Linked DNA regions of Tamandua tetradactyla. The protein of the gene in region 2 purifies or fractionates together with the protein of the main gene of each other region. This does not show direct contact. Links are inferred from orthologs where the notes say so. Each region holds a gene or a part of one and is shown on either strand. Other genes may lie near its edges.

Region 1 (7,243 bases), on a different chromosome or scaffold from region 2:
GCCATAAGCCTTATATGCTATCTCACTGAAAACTCACAGTTACCTTGCAGGGTAGTACTACATTTCACAGATGAGGTTTAGAAAGGTTATTTGTCCAAAAATAATTTACCAAAGTGCATGTAAATTTACCAAAGTCTAAGTGATGCACAGCTGAAATGCTGAGCTGAGAATGCTACCCAGGAAGGTAGCATTACCATCAGATTAAAATCTTTACTTTCTGAATTGTAACATACTCTGAACACATTCCCTCTGTCTAGAATGCCCCAACTCCCCACCTTTCATGGCTGCTTGCTAAACTATTATCCATTCTTAAAGTTGTAGCTCTAACATAACCCCTTCAGAGAGCATTTCTCAATCTCTCCAGTCGAACTTGATCAATCTTTCAGAAGCCAGTCTTCTGTACCTTCTTCATGACCTTTAACGGACTCTGCCTTGGATATTTTATGTACAAATGTCATATCAACAGTATTATACTCTAAGCTCTTCCATGAAATCTCCATCTTCTATGTCACCTAATTCATATACTGGCATTCAAAAAATGCTATCTGAATGAATAAATGAGTGCCTGAATGAATAAAATGGAACTCATAGTATTAATTAAGCATAATATAAATCACCTTCTGAGCTAAGAAACTATTACCATTTGAATATTTTCTAAGGGACAATTAGCTTATAACATGTACAGAATCAAAGAATCTAGTATCGTAGGAGCCCTTGTTGGTTACCTACTTTAATCTTCTATCCAGTTATTTCATTCAGGAACTCTAGAAATCCTAAAGCAGCATGCATTTTGCAAAGATTTAAAATATTTATTGAGTACTTACTATGTGTGTGTGTGGAGGGAGGGAGGACAAAATGGACACAGCAAAATACAAGACATTTCTGCTTTCAAAGAGCTTAAATTCTAGTAAGATGGGTGGTCAAAAAGGAAGCAAATAAATTAATAAGACCCTAACAGATCGTGACAAGGGCTGTGGGAGCAATAATCAGGGTACAAAGAAGGAGAATACCTGTGGAAGGCTACCTTAGATCTGAAACTCAAGGAGTGACTCTGAGTTGAGACCTGAAGGAATAGAAGAATGAGTTGAGACCTGAAGGAAAACAAGAAATCAGCCACAAGGGCCATGGAAGTACATTCTAGGCAGAAGGAATAACAAAGGCTTAAGATTAGAAATGTCTTAGCATGTTAGAGGAACAGCAAGTTGGCCAATAAATAAAGAGAATCCCTGGCAAGGAGAAAAGAGAGGAAGCAGCACCCAAATCATGTAGGGTCTTGTAGGCTGTGCTAAGAAATTTAAATTTTATGCCAAGAGCAATGGGAAGCCATAGAGGTTTTGATGTAGGAACAGGAAACGTGTGGATTTCTTTTAAGGATCATTTTGGCAGCTGGGTGCAGAACCCACTGCAGGGAAGCAGAAAGACCAGTGAAGAGGTAACAGCAGCCACGCACCTGCAAGTCGATAGTGGCCTGCACAAGAACTGTGCCAACAAAATTAAAAGGACAGACGAGATAAATTTCTGAGGTTGAACTGACAGGACTTGTGCATGTAAGAAAAAGAACGGTTTGCTTTACCAAGACAGTAAAGGGGTCATTTATTGAGATGGCAAAAACTGGGGAAAGGTCAGAGGTTTTAAAGGGGGAAAATCAAGAGCGTTGCTTTGTCTATGTTAAACATCAGACAATATCCACTTGAAAAAATCGTGTTGGAACTACCTGGGTGAGATTTAGCTGAAGATGCTACTCTGGGAGTTAGCACACCACACCACTCCACATCGCGGTCCGTCTCCTGGGGGCTCATAAAATAACTGCAATGCCTTTTCCTCATTCAGCCCTTAGCAAAGGAGAGGAGGCTGGACTTTACCCTGTGGGCACTGCTAAGCAGGAATGAGACTACGCTGGGGAGCTCGTGGTCAGATGGGACTCCAAAGAAGTTGCTCTGGCCGCATCCTTCCTCGCGTGAGGGACAAAGGCGTGCAGGGATGCCGGACGGTGAGGGGCCGGCAGCGACATAGCGGCCCGGCAAGGCTCCGCCTGCCTCCGTCTGGGCATTGAACAGCATCCTCCCCCACCCCGGCTCCTGCACTGCGGGCCTGCCTCTCAGCCCCCTCAGTATCTGTCCCCTCGCTCTCTCACCTGCCTCCTTCCTCTCGCTCCGGGCCTGGTTCTTGCCTTTAGCCTTCCGGCCGCGCAGCTCGCGTCGCTGCGGCTCCGGAGAGCCAGCGCCTTTCCGTCCCATGGCCGAGAGAGATTCGCCTTGCGAGTGACGCACCACACCGCGGTAAGCGGTCGCGGCACGCGAGCCGCCCCAGTGGGGCAAGGCATAGTCACGCCCCTCCACCACGGCCAAGCCACACCCTCAGAGGAAGGTCCGCCTCGGCCCCGGCAGCCAGTGTAAATTGCGTAGGCAGAGAGACGGAACCAAACAGATACTTTCTACTTCCGGTGCTTTTGCGTTCTCACGTTTCCGGAGGCGTGGGAAGGCACGTATGATCTCGCGATAGGAGAGAAAGGGCGCAGGGTTTGAAACATGGCGGACGACGTGGATCAGGTGAGTGCGTTTTGGTCTAAAGCGGCTTCCCCCGCGCTCCCAGTCCTGGCCCTTCTCGACTTGCCAGGGCTGCCTTCTCTAAGCTCACGGGAAAGTGTCCTTACGAACCACCTCTTTCTGGCCCACTAAGGCTTAATCTGTCTCCTTCCCCTTGTAACCGCATCCCCTTCCAGTTTTGCTTCAGGCCCTCAGTTCTGTCCTGTTCAAAGCCCGCGCGCCTAACAGCGATTCCTGACTCTCATCACTTCCCTTCTCTTGTCTGTAGATAATGAGAATAATTTTCCGTGTCTGCCTCGTGGAGCTGTCAGGATTCTGATAGAAAGTGTGGCAAAAAAATTGAGTTAGTGACGTTATTACTCAGCGTAGTATAATAATTATCCACTCATTCAACCAATACGTAGTGTGTATCAGCTGTCGGTGACTAGACATTACTCTAGGCACCAGGGACAGACATAATCCCATTACCACGTGGAGCTTATATTCTATTGGGGCAAGGCATACACGTGTGAGATACATAGGAATTGTGACGTGGTATGAAGGAAACAGACAAGGGACCGGGTACGGAGACCTTACAGGGTTTTTCGCCTGCTCTTCTTCCCCAAATACTCTTTCTGATGAATGTCGGGCCACAACTTATTCAGTTTTTCCACTCAAATCTCACCTCATCAAAGAGGATTTCCCTGGCCACCTACATCAAATAGTACCACCACCACCCCAGTCTGCTTACCTTGTTTAATTTCGTCATAGTATGTCATTCTTTATTTATTTTATTTTATTTTTTTCATTTTAAGTATGTGCTACTTTGTATAACAGCTGTCTTCCCTGCGAGAGCAGGAATTTTGTTTTGCTTACTGTTCTACCATCAGGGTTTATAACAGTGCTGGAAACACCATATATTTATGAATGAATGTATTGGATGATCAGGAGACCTCTTTGGAAAGGCAACATTTAAGGTTATAGGTTGAAAAGGGTAGAGAATGGGCATCTCAGACTGAGTCTAAAGTAGCAGCAGGATTCTGTCATGTGTATATTCTTATAGAACTATAATTGTTTATTTATATGCCTCTCTCCTAATTGGGCTGAACTCCTTAAGGACAGGTGCCTTATATTCTATGAAATTGTAGCTTGTCCAGCTCTTTAACGAACACTTGTTGAACTGGAATAGTGAGAGAGTCACCAGTTGAGGTCAGGACTTTTTTTTTCTCATTGATCTGAAGGACAGGTAGAGCCTGTGCTGGAGTCATGATTGTTCTCACTGAAAACTCTTTCCTTGGACAATCTTATCAAGTTTCATGGCTTTAATCCTCCCTTCCATATGGATGGCCCCGAGGTGATCCTAGCCCTGACATCTCTGAAACTTCAGACCTATGTTACCAACAGTTATTTAATATTTGTATTTAATATTTGTATTAATATTTAATATTTGTATATGTATAATATTAATTATTAATATAACTATTTTAAGTGCTTTCTGTTTGCCAGGTTTTACTTTAAATATATTGGCTCATTTAATCTTCTCAAGAAACCTTAAGGAAAGGTTGTGGCATCCTCATTTTACAGATAAGGAAGCAAAAAATTAGATTTGTTATCTCAGTTTGTACAGGTCAAAGCTGGGATTTGAACCCAGACTGCCTTGCTCCAAATCCAGTGCTTTTAACCAGTAGTCTATACTTTCTACTACCTATTTTCATCTTACTGTCCATTTGGCACCTTGAACTCAATCTTCCTTGTGGTGGATTCATAATCTTCCCTCAGACTTTAACGAACATCCCTCCCTAGCATCCTGACTGGTTTGTGGTAGGCACTAAGTGAATGTTTTACAAATGATTAAATGATATTTGAGATAAGGCTAAAGTCTCAGAAAGTGGCTCCGTTTACCCTGAAATTGGGTCAGGCAGTTTATTATTTTGAGGGAACAAGGTCTCACTGACTTTGGTATAGCCATGATTATTTTGCTGTGTAACTCCTTTCTTTGTGTATATGTTTTCTCTCATTTATATAGCACTTATGTGCCAGGCACTGTTCTGAGCCTTCATATAGGTCATTTAAGCCTCGCAACAACAGTATGAATAGGTACTGTTAATCCCCGTTTTACAAATTAGGAGATTGAGGCATACAGAGACTAAGTAACTTGCCCATGGTCACATAGCAGAGCAGTGATTGGAACATTACACTATTCCTAGTATTATGCTACTGTTTCCTCAATCAGCAACAAACTACCAACACCGTAGAGGAGCCCCTGGATCTCATCAGGCTCAGCCTGGATGAGCGAATTTACGTGAAAATGAGAAACGACCGAGAGCTTCGAGGCAGATTACATGTAAGTTTATTAAATTATCTTGAAATTAGACTACTTCTGTATCATCCCTCCCTTTCCCCACCCCCTTGAAATGTAGAAAGTATCCAATGTGCAAGAATATTTTGAAACATGGAAGAGGGGGAGTTAGAAAGTCACCCATATTTCTACAAGCCAAATATAACTATTTTATATATGTTAACACTTTTTTCTCTTTACAGAAATGTGTTTATTATGAAATGTTTTCACTCCCTTCATTTTTTCCTTGTGATTATTTGTAAATTACATTTGTCCTCCATTCTTATTTAATTTTTAAAAAATTACTGCTGCATAAATGTGTTTTGTAAAAAAAATTAGACAACACAGATATATATAGTGTAACAGATGAAATCCTATTTTCCTCTATTGGTAACCACTGCTAAAAATTGGATCTGTATTCTTTCAGATATTTTTTTGAATAGTTACACATATATATTCATGTGTGTGTGTCCAGATACATTTATTTTGCACTATATATCCCATCCTTAAAAAAATAAATGGGATCCCGCTATAAATATTTTTGTCACCTTAATCTTTCTTGGAATTCCTTGATCATGAGTGCATACAAATCTCTTTTATTCTTTTTAATGACTACATAGGATTCTGTATACAGTAGTGATCTATAGGTCGTTTTCCATTTTTTGCCGTTGTATATCATGCTGCAGTAAGCATTTTTATACATATTTCTGTGCGCATATATACAACTATTCCTATAGGATTGGTCCCTTTTATTCTAAAATATGTATTTTTTACTACTTCCATTCTACCCTGTGGTGATTAAAAATGGCTAACACTGGGTGATGCAGTCGTGGCTCAATGACAGAATTCTCTCCTGCCGTGTCGGAGACCCAGGTTTGATTCCCAGAGCCTGCCCATGCCAAAAAAAAAAAGGCTAATATTTATTGAGCATGCCAGGCACTATTATTCTGAATGCTTTATGTGTACTATATAAAGTACATATATATATATATATCATCTTTATAACAGTCCTCTGAGGGTAGTATCTGTCCCATTTTATGGTTGGGGGAGCTCAGGCTCAGAGAAAGGTGGAGTTACTTGCTTAAGGTGGCAAAGCCTACAAAGGGAGAGTCAAAATATGAACACAGACATTCATAGACACCTATTACCAAAACTTTTCCATCTCCCCAAACAGAAACCCTGCACCCGTTGTACTTTAATTCCCCGTTTGCCTTTCCTCCTCAACCCCTGGCATCCTGTGCTCTATTTTCTGTCTCTATGAAAAGACTACACCATTTTACATTACCACCTACAGTGTTCTGGGGTCCATATTTCTCTACGTCCTCCCGGCCAGTACTTTTTATTTGCTGTTTTTTTTTAAAAGCCATTTTTAGTGAGTGTGAAGTGATATCTCATTGTGATTTTTATTCACATTCCCTAGGGGCTAATAATGTTGAGCATTTTTTCATGTGTTTATCTGCCATTTGTTTATCGTCTTTGGAGAAATACCTTTCTCCAAAATCCAAGCAGCAGGGAGCGATTATCTGGGTTATTTATATTATCCTTGGTTATGACTGATTTGTTATTCCCTTATGTTAAATTCTTAATTACAGGTATTTTATATTTCAGCTCTAGAATTTCAATATGATTTTTTGTAGACTCCAATACTTTTGTAAAATTACTTCACCTTTGTTTTCATGTTACTCCCCTCTTCCTCTATATTTTGAACATATCAATCACAGTTTATGGTTAAAAAACAAAAAGTAAACCTTTCTCCAAAGTTCTTTGCCCATTTCTTAATTGGGTTGTCTTTTTATTGTTGTCAGTTTTAGGTTTGGTTGTTTTGTTTTTAAATTTTTTTAATTGTATAATATAACATATATACAGAGCAAAGAAATAAAACAATAGTTTTCAAAGTACTCCTCGACAAGTGGCTACAAGACAGATCCCAGAGTTTGTCATGGGTTACCATACAATCCTCTTATATTTTTCCTCCTAGTTGCTCCAGAATATAGGAGGCAAAAGGCTTATATACTTTTTTATCATCACAATTGACTTTTTTCCTTCTTTTTTTTTTTTCTGTGAACAATAACATATAAACAAAAACAAATTTTAGGGTTTTTTTTATCTCGTTAGTGTGTCGTCTCTGGTATATTCCCCGTGTGACTTATTTGCTACTTTTCTTTTTATGTTAGCTGGTGAACCACTTTGCACTTTGGTAGAAATAAGGGTAAGTGGGTTCCACATAAAGCCCCAGAAGGGTCATCTTTTAGTAAAATGCTAACTTTTGAATGGATTGAGTACATCCCTGAATATCTCAGTTGCAGCATTTATTGATTGAGCCTGCAGATCCCAAACACAATTAAGTTCTGGATAAGCTTGGGGATTGCTCCATTTAACT
Region 2 (7,408 bases):
CAGTCCCCCAAGGTCACCAGGCTGGAAGACCCAGTTCCCTTCCTTCAGGCAACAAAGTATCAGATATTTGATAAGCAGCCAACAATCCTCCCATACAAATGTAAGAGAAGGTATTTATATGCAAGCACAGAGAAGAATGACTTCTTTCTTTCTGGCTTTTAACCAGCTTAGCCAGCAGAAAGACTAACTTTAAATTCTGAATTAAGAAGCAAATCCACAAAGGAAACATCTCTACCCACCTCCAAATACCTTTACAGAAAAACTACATTCACTTCTATTTTCTTTTAGCACGGGCAGGCTCTGGGAATCCAACTCCACAGCAGGTAAGAATTCTGTCATTGAGCCCACCGGTGCACCGCCCTACATCTATTTATTTATTTGTTTTTTTGCATGGGCTGGCACGGGGAATCAAACACGGATCTCTAGCATGGCAGGCGAGAACTCTGCCTGCTGAGCCAATGTGGCCCGCCCCCTACATTTACTTATAAGAGGGAATTTCTTTCACCTTATAAATATCTGGAATGAGGGCCCAGAATGTTACAGCTTAACTGAAACAGGTAACTCAAGTTACCTTCCTCAGAGAAGCCTTTCAGGACTCCCTCCTTCAGAGCCAACCCTCCTCTTCCTCAACATTTTGGGCTTGCTGCCAACACACTGGCTGTAGGCAGATATTCTCTCTGTCCTTCTCACAACAGGGATCTCTGGTTGTCTGGCGAAGACTATGGGCATCCGTTTGTGGCAGTAACATCTTCAAAGCACAATAAATATAATGCAGAGGCTCACAAGGGTAAGCAATTATACTGAGATAATCATCAAATCATTTAAGAAGTATTTTGGAGATACAGTAACACATGATCTCTAAAGCATTATATAACAAACTTGTACCTGTCTGATAATTACAGTAAATTTGAAGTAGGAATGAGAGTAAATGATATTTTGAAGATTTCCAACAACTATAAAATGATAATATCTGTAATTACTACTGGTGACAAAAATCACTGGTACTATTTATATGTCTTTGCTTTGCTGCTTATATTCATAACTGCAGAAAAGAATACCTTTATCTAGAGTTTAGTGAAAACAGAGCTGAAAAATTCATGGACTTCTTGAGTTCCACCCACCATTTCATAGAACCTTGGCCAAGAACCCAGGCAGTAGGAGAGGGAACTTCACAAAAGCAAACTCCCCATATATTTGCAATAAAGTTCAAAGCCCTTTAGTGGTAAATTCTGGTTTTCCAATGATAGGCCCATATTCTTCTCAGTCCTCACTTTACCACTCCCCACTTCCATGAATAAATGACTCCTAATCAAGTGCTCACATTAGTTGGGACCCCTTGGGGTTGCCAGCTTTTATCAGCTGGCATACACCCCTGCACAGCAGTAATGCTTATTTACCAGCTGTATTCCCTTTAACTAACGGCAAAGTCCCAAAGGCAGAGTTTGCACTGTGTCCCTAGTACCAAAAACAGTGCCTGGAATGAAACTGTGTATAATAGGTGCTCAACAAATGTGTACTGAATGCAAAGCACAGCTTCCAGGTACTGAGCTAGGTATGCCCTGAGGATACCAAGATAACCAGATAATCTTAAGTACCGGCACTTTAGAAAATTCAGGGAGGGCTATTTGATCATTCTTGGAACACTTTCCTGTCTCATTATAGAAAGAGAAAATCAAGAGGTACCTTGATGCTGAGTAACAAACAGCATTATATGGGAGACGGGGAGGATCTGGGCAGGTGAGAATTACACACAGACACCAGCAAACTGCAGGACGGAGGAGGCAGGAAGGCCCCTCCACTGAACAGGAGACTTCAGACACACTGCCTCAAAGCACACCCCCAAATCGTCATCTCAGAAGTCTCAGGGAGGATGGGACGGGGTTCCCCACTCTGTCAGAAAGCCCAGAGAAGGAATTTCCCGCCCCACTCGACTCAAATCAGATGGCTGTCAAGGCATCAAAAGGACAGTCTGGGAAGTTTGGGGAAAATGCTTTTTTCAAAGCATAAATGAGGCAAAAAGGGAATGCACTATGTAGAAACGACACCGACTTTTATATAGTTTTGCATAAACTTCTTTAAATTGAGGGTGAGTGGGTGTTTTTAAATATAGGTAAAAAATAGGTTATTAAAAAAATCCCCACAAGCCAGTAGTCACCACCAATGTAGGTCAAAAACCTTCCAGCACAAGGCAGATCAAAATCAGACTAGCGTCAAAAGATGCTGCACGCCTTTCCCCCCAAGGAGAGTGATGATAAAATAACAAGAACTCCTCTAACACCCCCAAAAAAGAATTAAAGCTGCTCCTTATTGTTATCTTTTTTTTTTTTTCATGGGCAGGCACCAGGAATCGAATCCGGGTCTTCGGCATGGCAGGCGACAACCCTGCCACTGAGCCACCGTGGCCCGCCCTGCTCCTTTTTAAAATGCAAAAAACACCAGTTACAGATCCTATTTTCCGAGTTTTTTCTGCAGAGCCTTCCGGGGGGGGGGCCCACGGGCAGGCCACCGAGTGCACAGTGACTGCAGCGGCGACCGCGGCCCAGCTGGAGGGGTCCAAGCGGTCGGGCCCACCCGGCCCATTCCGAGAGCCCCCGCCCTCCTTCCCCCCCAAGCCCTTCCCTAAATCTCACAAGGCGGGGCCGCTGCAGGGGCCGCTGCGGAGGTCGCGCGCGGGGAGCCTGAGGCAGCCCTGGTCCCCGCTCGGCACAAAGCGGCCCGCGCCACCCAGTGAGCAACCGAGGCCTCCGGGCCCTTCCCGCACCTGCACCATTATGGCCATCCGGAGCGAATCCTTGGGGATACTTTCGCCGCATTTCTTGCAGGAGGCGCGCCCGCTCTTGGCGTACTCGACTCGGTAAAGCTTGTCCGAGGCCTCCGCCATCCTCCTCCCTGGGCCGCCGCAGCGCCTCGGGACCGCAAGACCACAGGGGCCTCCTCCTCGCCCGCCACGCGGACGACAGCCCCCCCAGCTCCTGCAGGCGTCGGAATGCGCCGCTCCGGGATAGATTGCTCACGCCTGGCCACGGGACCGCCCTTGGCGCCCGCGCGCCCGCCCACCAGCCCCTGCTGGCGTCCGAGCGCGCCGCTCCGGGATAGATTGTTGATGCCTGGCCGCGGGAACGCCCCCGGCGCCCGCGCGCCCGCCCACCATCTCCAACAGGCGTCCGAGGGCGCTGCTCCGGGATAGATTGCTGACGCCTGGCCGCGGGAACGCCCCCAGCGCGTGTGCCCGCGGCCGGCCTCGAGGGCGGGCCCTTCTCGGCGAAGGGTTTACGGGCTTTGGGGGCTCTGGCGGCCGTTTAGTCTCCCTCTGAAGGGTAAATTGCTACCCCTTTAACCGTTTAGTTGCTAGGCAGGCGTAGTTGCTGTTGCACCGCTATTTAAACTCCCCAGCCATCTTTCTGCGTTCCCGCTCTTTTCGGAGAGCCGCCTGCTCGGGAACGCGGCTCACCTGCCGAGGGCTGGCCAGTGAGCTGCGAGGTTGACCCTCCCTGGCCCGTGGGACTCACTTGGAGTCCGCAGACCGCTGGAACAGGGTCCTAACTGAAACTTAGCGTTTCCTCTACTATGAATTTTGAAGCATGAATACAAATCCTAGGAATATTAGCAGAATCCGTGATTTGACTCACCAATAGTCACCACAAATACTTCGTATCACTTTACAGTTCGAGATAAATCAAAATATTATTAAGCTCAGAATATTATTGCCGTGGTTATTAGGCCGGCTAGCTCTAGATCTTCTTATTTAATGTAGGACTATATTTTTACCTAGCGACCAAATTAAAAAGACGTGCATTGTGCTTCTGGGTCGACAGCAAGGCTGTCCCTAAATGGTCACCCAGTAGCGTTCTCTTCCTTTTCTGGCTCCCACGAGCTCTGCTCAAGAAATACACATAATACCTATGTCTGTTCAGCAAGCTAAATGCAGTGTTACACCTGTGACCAGACACCCTCAGCTCTGGTGATTGGAACCCCACCATCAGCCCGGGCAGGCTGACATGGGAGGGAGGGAAAGAGAAAGTGTATGGTCCTTCTGCCTAGCCTGTACCGAATCTCATCTGTGTTATGCACCCCATCTGGTCCCCTTTGATTTAAACTGTTTTAAACTGATTTAATAAACAGTAATTCAAGCATTTTAATTTAACTGTGGGGTTTCTGTTTTGTGACTCCTGGGATAGCGTGCCTGATCGTATGTCTGGAGGCTACCATTACATTAAGGTGATTCCCTACCCACAGTTGATTCTGAGAAGAAGTTAGTAGCCTTCACTGGACCTCCAAAATGTCCTGAGTGTGCACACATGCAAACAAGGTTAAGAATCTGTGCCCTAGTGCACTTTTCCAACACTTTGCTGCCTCCTTTACTGCCTGTTCTAGTTTGCTAGCTGCCGGAATGCAACACGCCAGAGACGGATTGGCTTTTAATAAAAGGGGATTTATTTTGTTGGTTCTTCAGAGGAAAGGCAGCTAACTTTCCACTGAGGTTCTTTCTTACGTGGAAGGCACAGGATGGTCTCTGCTGGTCTTCTCTCCAGGCCCCTGGGTTCCAACAACTTTGCCCAGGGTGATTTCTTTCTCCATCCCCAAGGGCCTGAGCTGAGCTGCAAGTGCTGAGATGAGGAATGCCAAGCTGCTAGACTGTGCTACATTGCGTTCTCTCATTTAAGCACAAGCCAATTAAGTTAAACGTCACTCATTGCAGCAGACACGCCTCCTAGCCGACTGCGGATGTAATTAGCAACAGATGAGATTCACCTACAATTGGCTCATGTCCACAGCAACAGAACTAGGTGCTTTCACCTGGCCAAGTTGACAACTGAATCTAACTACCACACTGCCTCTCAAGTTAAAAATTTTTTTGGTACTTATATCTCTATCAAGAGTAGGAAAACCAAAAGCAGGTGGAGAGGATAGCAGTATGTGTCTTACGCCTGGGCTTCTTCCCTTCTTTCCTTTATCAGCCTGGTACCCTAGGCGATTTGAATTTGCCAATCCTGGCCTAAAGCTTAAAAGACTAAATTCCTTGTGATGGCTTATGTGCTGGTTTGAAAGGATGTGTGCCCCCTAGAAAAGCCATGTTTTAATCAAAATCCCATTTCATCAAAGTAGAGTAATCCCTGTTCAATACTGTATGTTTGAAACTGTGATTGGATCATCTCCCCGGATGATGTGATTTAGTCAAGAGTGGTTGTTAAACTGGATTAGGTGACGACATGTCTCCACCCATTTGGGTGGGTCTTGATTGGTTTACTAGAGTCCTATAAAAGAGGAAACATTTTGGAGAAAAAGATTCCAGATGAGAGAGAAACTCTGACTGTGCTCGCCATGTACCTTTCCACTTGAGAAAGAAACCCTGAACTTCATTGGCCTTCCTGACCAAGGTATCTTTCCCTGGGTACCTTAGATTGGACATTTCTATGGACTTGTTTTAATTGGGACATTTTCTCGGCCTTAGAACTGTAAACCAGCAACTTATTAAATTCCCCTTTTTGAAAGCCATTCTGATTCTGGTATATTGCATTCCAGCAGCTAGCAAACCAGAACAGCTTATAACTCCCCTCAGTATCCTTTCCACCCTCATCTCTCAGCACTCCAGTCACACCAAATTACTTTCCATTCACATGAACTCTTCCACATCTCCTTAACTTTGCACATGTTTTTTCTGTCTTGATAAAATACCTGTTCCCTTTCCCTTCACTTGGCAGCTCTGATTTGTCTCTCAAGATCTGGTTCACCTGCCACTATCTACCCCGCCGCCCCTCCCAGCAGAGCTGTCTCCCTCCTCCTTGGTCCTGCCAAGGCTGCTGTTGGGACATCTGCTCTGGAGTTCCTCCCACCAACCTGTAGCAGCGTGCCAGGCGGTGAGCACATGAGAGCAGAAACTACCTGCTGATCTCTACATCCTCTACATCTAGTTCCTGCTGATAGTACACATTTAGTATTAATATTTGAATGAATACTCTTCAAATTAAATCTACAAAATGAAAGAACCAAACTTGAACCTAGGTCCTATGTTTCCAATTCCAGGCTTCTATGGGACAGGAGCTTTGATTATATTGGTGCACATGCCTGCTTCAGTGTTTATCTAATCCTCTCCTCCCTCCACCTCCCCTTCCCACCCATCCCCTCCCCTTTCCCTTTCCCTCTTTTTTCCTTTTGGGACAGAATCAGTCAGAGCACTCTGAGCTCACTAGCAACATTTATGTTTTAAATTACATCCTTTTCACGCACTGTTTTCATTTTCAAATAAGAAAATGGAAATATGGAGAGATTAAATGATCTCTCCCAGTGTTAAAGTCTCTCAGTATTAGAGGCAAGATGAGAGGCTGAGCCTCTGCCTTTTTCCCCCTCAGTTTCCAGAGCCTCCCCTTAAATCACGCTCTCCAGCCTTCTTGTCCTCAGAGCTGAGCCCCGTGGCTGCTTTGCCCCTTCCTAGTACTTGAGCTGGTTGTGCGGGGGTCTGATCCTGAGGAGGGTTAAGCCCTTCCTTGACTAAGGCGGGATGGTTCAACCTTTCTTCTTGTGCCAGCTCAACGCCTGGCATTTAGTTGGTCGCTGGTAAAAGTTTTATTAAGTCCCTGTTTTCCAACCATCCTGAATTTTTTCTGAATTTCTTAGGAGTCTATTGCTCTCAGTTTTTGTCCAGCTCAAAAGAAACTCCAGTTTCTGATGAGGTGTGACGTGGGGGCTGAGCAGGAGCCTTGAAATGTGTGCCCATGACTATCACATTCTCTTGGCACCTCCCAAGGCACCTCACAGAATCCCAGAGCTCAAACCCTGTTGTTGGTGGTGTGTGTGTGTGCAGGGATGTGTGTGTGTGTGTGTGTGTGTGTGTGTGTGTGTGTGTGAGAGAGAGAGAGAGAGGCAGAGACAGGGCCGAGACACTGCACTCAAAGGTACTTATTGTGATTTTCCTCTTATAAAACTAAACAAACAAACGAAAACAAGCCAAAAAAATCAAACAGCACAGGCATAAATAGAATAAAGAGTGAAAACCTTCCTTCCCCAACCCCTCCCCATCCCCAAACCCCAGAGGGGATCAGTGTTTATAATTTGTCCTATATCCAGTCGGATTCTTTCACTAAACATTATACACACATACAGACTTTGAGATCACATTATGTACATATTGCCCTCTAAGAAGTTTGTTCCTTAATATCCCAGAGTTATCTATTACTGTCAGAATGTAGAGGACATTTCATTCCTTTTTAAAAACGCATGCAATTTCATAATGTGGCTGTGCTATATGTTTTTATTTGCTTGTAGGGATGATAATGTTATTTACTTTTGTTTTATCTACATTGAGTTTTCGTATTTCACATGGGATACACAAATAGATCCTTTTTTTGTAAAAGCTTGAGACTTGGTTGTCCAACATAGGAGCCACTAGTTACATGCGGCTACTGAGCAC
Region 3 (7,022 bases), on a different chromosome or scaffold from region 2:
CAAAAATCTCACTGACTATATGTGTTGGGAGACAGCATCTAAATCCACATCACTCTGACATAAAAGCCCACACTGATAACCACTTCACTGTATTATCTCCCATAAAATTAAACCAGCTTACAGTCATTTATACATATTATGGACAAAAAGATGCTCACATAAACTGATTCAGTACTAAAAGTGAGCATCAAATCTTAACATGGACTTGTAAGGTGAAATCATCTTTTTAATAAACTTCTAATGCATAAAAGAATACAATTTTTCAATAAAATATGATGTTTTCTCCCTTCCTTTACTATACTTCCCATGTCCCCTATAACCAGTTTTATAATGACGACATACCATTATGAATAAAGCCAAAATTTACCTCCCAAGTTTTAAAGATGACTAAAGTCTGAAATGTCTAAACTTTTAGTAATCTTTTATAATTTCAAAAACATATGGAGGAGACTTAGAGCTAAAAGTCTTCATTAGATCAAAATCATATTCTCCTTCCCTTGCCAGATTGTTTAGCATATCCAAAATTCCATGTTTTAATCTGCTCAACTAGACCTGTATACTTAACTTCCAGAATTGTTTTTTTCATTTCCACCACAGTCCTTGAGTTTTCTACTATAATTTGGGTCTTTTTGCAAAGCCTGATTACATGAGAAAAATGCTTTCTGGTCCTCTAAGAAATAAAAGTTATTCAGTAGATTATTTGAAAACAAGATTTTTAAAGTTCAATAGAAAATAAGATTTGCAAGTGATACATCTTAAGTAATTTCTGCCAGCAACCAATCTTAATCATGGAAAATGAAAAATGCATCTCAAGTTCTAGTTTTACCACTGAAAATTACGGAATTATAATCAAAGGCAATATGAAATAGTCTGTTAACACTTCATTATAATTACCATCAACTAAACCATATAAAACACACTTCTCTATCTCTCAAGAGATCCAACCAAATTATAAATTCAATATACAAAGAATTTAAAGATAACTACAGTAGACTGCAAAGGCATATGAATAGCAACCATTAGTTTTAACACAAATTCTGACACTCATTTTTACTTACAGGTAGCCAATGGTAACAGATACTCCCAAATAGATGGAAAAATAAATACTTTGCCAACTACTGATCTGTCCATATAAAAGATTAATATCCTGATTTAAACTAATTTTTCAAGATAGTTTATTTAATGAAAGACACAAATACCAAGATTAAAAAAAAAAGCATGTACCGATTTATTCTATCAATAAGTCCATTTTAGTTTCAAATGTATTTTTCTAACATTGAATGAAACCCTCCAACTTTTGCTAAATTTCTTATGGAAATGAAAGAAAAGTTTCCTACAGAGCTCAAAAAAAAATATGGTCATGTAATTATCTACAAAGTTAAATAACAGTAAATTAAAACGTTGCTATGAAATGTTAAAAGAAACAAATTTAATTTTAGAGTAAACTGTTTATCAATATAGAATCAAAGTTCCTCAATGGAAACACCAATGATGTATTAACATTTCCAAATAATGAATAAGAACTCACAATATCAGCTGGTGATCTAATAGCATTTTCAAATGTCATTTGATTTTAGTAACAAGGGTAAGGTGCCACTAATCTAAAAAATCTTTCGTTCTAATTTATGCATTGTCCCCACCCTTACCCCTTGCATGTACACATGGACTACTAATTTATTAACTACTTATCTTTCCAGGCTCTAGTCCATTCGTACTGCATTACTGGAGTACTATCATTAACAAAATTCGCAGAGATTTAATTAAAAGCCTAGCAGTTATTTTGCAAGGCGCCTTGGCACACATATTTTTCTGCTATCAACACGTTCGTTTTTCTGTTTTGTTTTTACCAGAACGGATGCTTGTAGATGCAGCATAATCCCTATCCAATTCCCCTAAACCTCACCCAAGCAAAGAGAAAAGCAAGAGCGATTTAAAAAAAAAAAAAAAAAAAGAGGTGGGAGGAGATATCAAAGTCCTTGAAAAATGTAACGCTTTTTTTCCCCCCCTGGGTATCTAATCTGTCGGCTGAGCTGGGGTTTTGTGAGTGTGTGTGTGTATAGGAAATGACCCTGGTCTGAACTCCAAGCCGAGATGCCAATGAATTATCGAGATGCCAATGAATTATCGAGATGCCAATGAATTATCGATCTGCCGTGGGAGTTAGGTTCCTCCAGGTCTTCCTTGAGCCACTTCTATCTCCCAGCAGGGCTGAGCGCCTCCAGGACTTGGCACTTCGTCTCCTCTCCAGCACACTCCCTTCAGCCCCCACCCGGTTTCACCTGAGATGCTGACGTAGGTAAACGCTTCTTTTGATAATCCCGTCCTGACAGAGGGATGATCTACGGTATATTAACTACTGTGAAACAGCCATCCCCAATGCACTCTCATTCGAATGACACTTTTCGAATGGAAGTGTAAACTGCTCTTGGACGTCTTCCCCGCCAAATCCATTCTTCTGCTGAGAGCATCAGAAATGGTTGCATTTAGAAGGCGTGCGCGCGCACACACCCCTTTCCCTGGGATTTTAAGTCACATTTGGAGAAAGTGCTGACCCACACAGACACAGAGGCATTTTCCCCATCCACTTCATCTCACGCCCGACTGCTCTGGAAGAGTCTGGGGGAGAGGAAAAAAGAGGAAGTGGGGATTCTATGACATGTTCATGGCTTGTCCCCCAAAGTTTCTACGGCACCTTACGCTCCTGCAGCCAGAGCCTCCATAGAGGAAAAGAAAAGAAAGAAAAGGGGCGGGGGTTCTGCCGGCAGAAGCCCGACTGGACGCGGGTTTGGGAGACGGGATTTCCCTCTTCCCCCTCCCCCACACCGCGCCCCGCCAGTCCCACGGAATTCCACCCCCGCCGCCGCCCGCGAACAATGCGGCGGCCCGGACCCTGGCCCCCAGTCGCCCGTCACTCACCACCCAGGTCAGCGCCCCATTGCCGCCACCGCCGCCTGCGCCGGCTCCCGCGCCACCGCCTCCCGACTTGGCCATGGCGGGTGCCTCCTGCTCACAGGCCCCGAGGACGCGGCCGCCGCTGCCGCCTTCCTGAGGTCCGCCGGACCCCGCTGCTCCGCACCGGCCACTCGACTCGCCGCGCTCCTAGCGGCGCCGGCCCCAGCGCCCCATCGCCGAGACCCGGGGCAGACGCCGGGCCGAGCCCGCCAAAGAGGCCGCGCCGCCCGGCGCCCTCAAACTCGAGTCGCGGTGGCCGCGTCGCCCGGGCCTAGCGCCGCTGCTGAGGAGGAAGAAGGAGGGGGAGGCCGGCGGTGGCTGAGCAGCGGCGCTGCCTCCTCGCCTGCTCGCGGGCGCCGCAGCAAGCGGGTCGGAGGCTCCCGGGGGCGAGCAGCGAGGATAGCCGGCAAGCCTGGGGCGTTCGGACGTGGCGAGGACACCGAGGTGCCTTGTCCTTCCTCACAATCCGCGAAGACTGGCCGCTCGGGTCGCCGCAGTCGCCACCGCCTCTGCCTCGAAGATGGCCTTTGTCGGCCGCGCTGCAGCCCCGACTTCCTCACATCCACACGCCAAAAGGGACAATAAACAGAGCCGCCGCCGCCGTCACGGTCGCCTCCCTCTTGTCCGGCATAGCACCGCGCACACACACATTCGCACACCCGGGAGGGAGGGAGGGAGGGCGCGGCGGCCGCCCCCGCTGTCAGTCAGCACCTGGTCACCCAATCAGGGCCTTGTCGCCACAGCCTCTCGGCCAATCCCAAAATTCCAAGCCCCCGGCGGGGCGGGACCCGAGGGGGAAACGTCATTGCGGGTAGCAACCGAGTGGAAGAATTGGGGTTTTTTGTTTGTGTGTGTGTCTGTGGGTTTTCCATTTTAGGGGGAGCAAGGGCTGCTGTCAAGGGTCATTTGAGGGCAGCAAAGGGAAAGGGTCGAATTGTACTCGGGTCAATTGTATTCAGCCGAGCGTGCTATTTACTCTGAGTCGCCTGCGAAACCAAGGCGTTTTTTTTTTGCCAGGGGTGGCTGGGGGCGGGGGTGGGGAGTGGAGGGAAGGGAGCAGGAAGGAGGCGAGGGCTGTCCCAAAGGGAAAGTATTTTTAGACAGCGGTTTTAAACCGCTGGCAAGAACGTTATAGACCACTGGTGCAAGGAGGGCCCCGTGACCCTGGCCTCTCCAAGGCCCCAAATGGACGCTGTCAAAACAAACAGACAAACAAAAAAACCTCTGCTCAGGCCCTGTCCCTCCTCGCGTCTAAAAGAGGACCCCGTTAGTCGCAAGAAAACTGCACTTAAAAAACTTAAATGAGTAGGAACTCACTGAGAACATTCCAGGGAAAGAATGCAGGTGGGGTATGTCTTCTGTTTCAACTCTTTGTTGAGCTCTGTCCTCTAAACACGACAGAGATGTCACTGTCACTTTTCTTTCATAGCTACTCTGAGCTGTCCCAGAGACCTCTAGGAGGGCACGCTTAATTTTTTAAGCTCCTTTCCAGTAGAATTTTAAAATACATGCTGAGGAATAATTCCATTCACTTTAAAGCTTTCTAAGAGTGAGTGACCCATACAGCTGCAGCAGAGTCCTTGGCAGATGGAAGATGGCTCTGCTTCATCTTCTTTTCAGTGTAATTCCATTCAGTAAGTATTTATTGGGCACATCCTCTGAAATCCTGGGCCAGGCTCTGCTATGGGATCAAAATAAAAACACAGCCCCCCATTTCAAGTCATTTATGATCTGGCTGGAGAGATACTTGAAAGGAGTTAACTGTCTTAAGGTAATATATAAGATGTGTACTTGAGGGCATGAAGTGGCACCAAAAAGTTGTGACAAGCACTTCTTAAGAAGAGAAATACAGTATGTTTTGTGGAAAGGTGTTTCTTATGAACGTCTCTTCCAAATGTGCATTTCCTCTCAGGGGAAAACAAAAATGTCTGGGGTCACATCTTTCGACTTCCTTCTGAGTCCAGAGGTAGGGAACTCTGAAACATGGAAACAATTTAAACGTATTTCTTCTTAATTAGCTCTCTGGTGGCCAAGTAATTTTGGTACATTGTGACTTTGATTCAGACACTAACGCCTTTCTTTACCTTGAACTTGGTGCAAGCTTGAAATTCAGACAGACCAGAGTCTAATCTGGGCCCTGAACTTGAGCAGCTAAATAACCATGGGTTTATTTAACTTCCCTGGGGGCTTGGTTTACTCCTCGTTAAAATGAGTATTTTTACTCTCATACTTACTGTAACTTTACATCGCCAAAGTACACGTATAACATAATTTTTAAAATGGGTGGATAATGTTAAAAGGTGTAAGTTTTTTCTAACAATATATGCAATTAAGTAGAAACCTTTTTGAAACTTCAGATTTCAAAGCTCTTGAGCTTCAGAGTTTGAAGAGAAAATATATTCAAAAATCAGATAGGCTAGTTGATGAAAATAATGTTCATTTTTTTCATTTGCATCATAGGTGAGGCATTACAGTATCCCTAAATATCAAGAAACCATCTGGTAAGTGTTACTAGTTTTATTGTTGTGGAAAATACAGACTTACTTAATTGGATCACAAACAAAAGAATTGTTGAATACATGCAACTCAATATTTTAAAGCAAAAATAACACGATTAATGGGGGAAAGTATCTGCAACAAATGTATCTCAGCACCTAAAGAACTGTTGATCTTTTTAACTATGTGAGGTAGACTTACCACGACTTTTATGATAAAATGGATTGTAGCTCACTTGAGCACAGCTTTACCTTCTGGGGTATTGTGAAGTAATTTTCATTTACAAAGTAATTGTAGCAACTGTAGCAATAATTGCTACAAGCTTCAATGTCAGGTTTGTATTGTTTGGGTTACTATCATATTTATCTTAGTATATATATACATACACACACACACACACACACACACCATATGCTAATATAATAGTATTCATATACATTATTATATGTTTTTATAGACCTATTTTTACCCCATAGAAAAGCACCTGTCAAAATGAAAAATTGTAGAAATCAGTCCATTCCATAAACTATAAAATTAAAGGCCTTTAATCAAGCTAATCCTAACTCCTTCAGAATTTTTATTTTTAGACCTTACGTTTACCTAATGTAACAAAGATATTCATTAAATGTTTACTGTGTGTTAGGTACTTAGGACCTGGAGAGTCAAAAAGGTGATAAAGATGTAATCTCTGCCTTGGCTACATACCTTATATATTTTTTAGCTAGTCTTTCAGTTCCAAAAGCAATTTTATGTTCAATTATTTGCTATTTAATAAGCAGTTCACCTGATAGGACTCACATCTGTCATTCATTGCACTTTAAATGCAGTAGGTGACAATCAACAAATAAGTTATCTGAGAAAATAACTATACTTCTAGGTATCTGGCAAAGTTCCCGTAAAGTTTCCACTGAAACCATGTATTGTTCCAACACTAAGATTTAGCTGGCGTCAGGGGTGGGGGACCCTAATCTTTAACCCATCGAACATTTAAAGTTAATATTTTAATCCAAAATTCAATGTCTGCAATTTTAACTCGCTCTTTCTCTCATTGTGTTAGTATTCATTGGTCCTAAATATATACAAAGTTGCTATGCTTAGAATAAGAAGAGAAATTCACAACTGTCCTACAAGAAAATTCAATAAATGTTGTCCAGATAGTGACAGGTAAGAACTCTGCCACTGAGCCACCATTGCACTACCATAGTTTTACTTTTAAAAGGTACTTAACACCAAAAATAACAAGCCTGTGTGGATGGCTGAAGACATCAGTGGTAGCCCCACTCCTCAGTATTCCCACCATTGGGAAGATGGACAAAGGCTAACGCTTTTCATTTTTTACCTACAATACCTGTGGGCTGTTTGTTTTGCTTGACTTCTTTGGTTTCCAGGAATTTGTTTTGATTAGTTTCGGCCAAGTAAGCTATACTGATCCTCTGGTAACAACTCTAGTTATTTGTATGGACTTTGAAACATTTTCACTTATTTTACATGATATAGATTAGCAATAATATTCAGAGTTCTGAACTGATTTACTGGGTTATATAATGGGGAGAATAAAATGACCATATGCCTTT

What was found.
Region 1: the proteins of PARP1 (region 2) and XPC purify together in Homo sapiens (affinity purification with mass spectrometry; 4 studies listed by BioGRID and IntAct, counting the BioPlex papers as one, with this or other methods). This does not show direct contact. The link is inferred for Tamandua tetradactyla from reciprocal best matches to the Homo sapiens genes PARP1 and XPC.
Region 3: the proteins of PARP1 (region 2) and TOP2B purify together in Homo sapiens (affinity purification with western blotting; 3 studies listed by BioGRID and IntAct, with this or other methods). This does not show direct contact. The link is inferred for Tamandua tetradactyla from reciprocal best matches to the Homo sapiens genes PARP1 and TOP2B.

Annotation. Positions count from the first base shown.
Region 1 is NC_135335.1:33,961,034-33,968,276, forward strand, and holds the start of XPC (DNA repair protein complementing XP-C cells), read right to left. Parts: upstream 3,023-7,243; 5' UTR 2,550-3,022; coding exon of another isoform or gene 2,529-2,549; 5' UTR 2,238-2,528; coding exon 2,135-2,237; intron 1-2,134. Other genes in the region: U6 snRNA-associated Sm-like protein LSm3, read left to right, coding at 2,529-2,549, 4,759-4,869. UniProt on the Homo sapiens protein: Involved in global genome nucleotide excision repair (GG-NER) by acting as damage sensing and DNA-binding factor component of the XPC complex. Has only a low DNA repair activity by itself which is stimulated by RAD23B and RAD23A.
Region 2 is NC_135333.1:20,187,093-20,194,500, reverse strand, and holds the start of PARP1 (poly [ADP-ribose] polymerase 1), read right to left. Parts: upstream 3,011-7,408; 5' UTR 2,882-3,010; coding exon 2,762-2,881; intron 1-2,761. UniProt on the Homo sapiens protein: Poly-ADP-ribosyltransferase that mediates poly-ADP-ribosylation of proteins and plays a key role in DNA repair.
Region 3 is NC_135341.1:62,454,556-62,461,577, reverse strand, and holds the start of TOP2B (DNA topoisomerase 2-beta), read right to left. Parts: upstream 3,023-7,022; 5' UTR 2,992-3,022; coding exon 2,917-2,991; intron 1-2,916. UniProt on the Homo sapiens protein: Key decatenating enzyme that alters DNA topology by binding to two double-stranded DNA molecules, generating a double-stranded break in one of the strands, passing the intact strand through the broken strand, and religating the broken strand.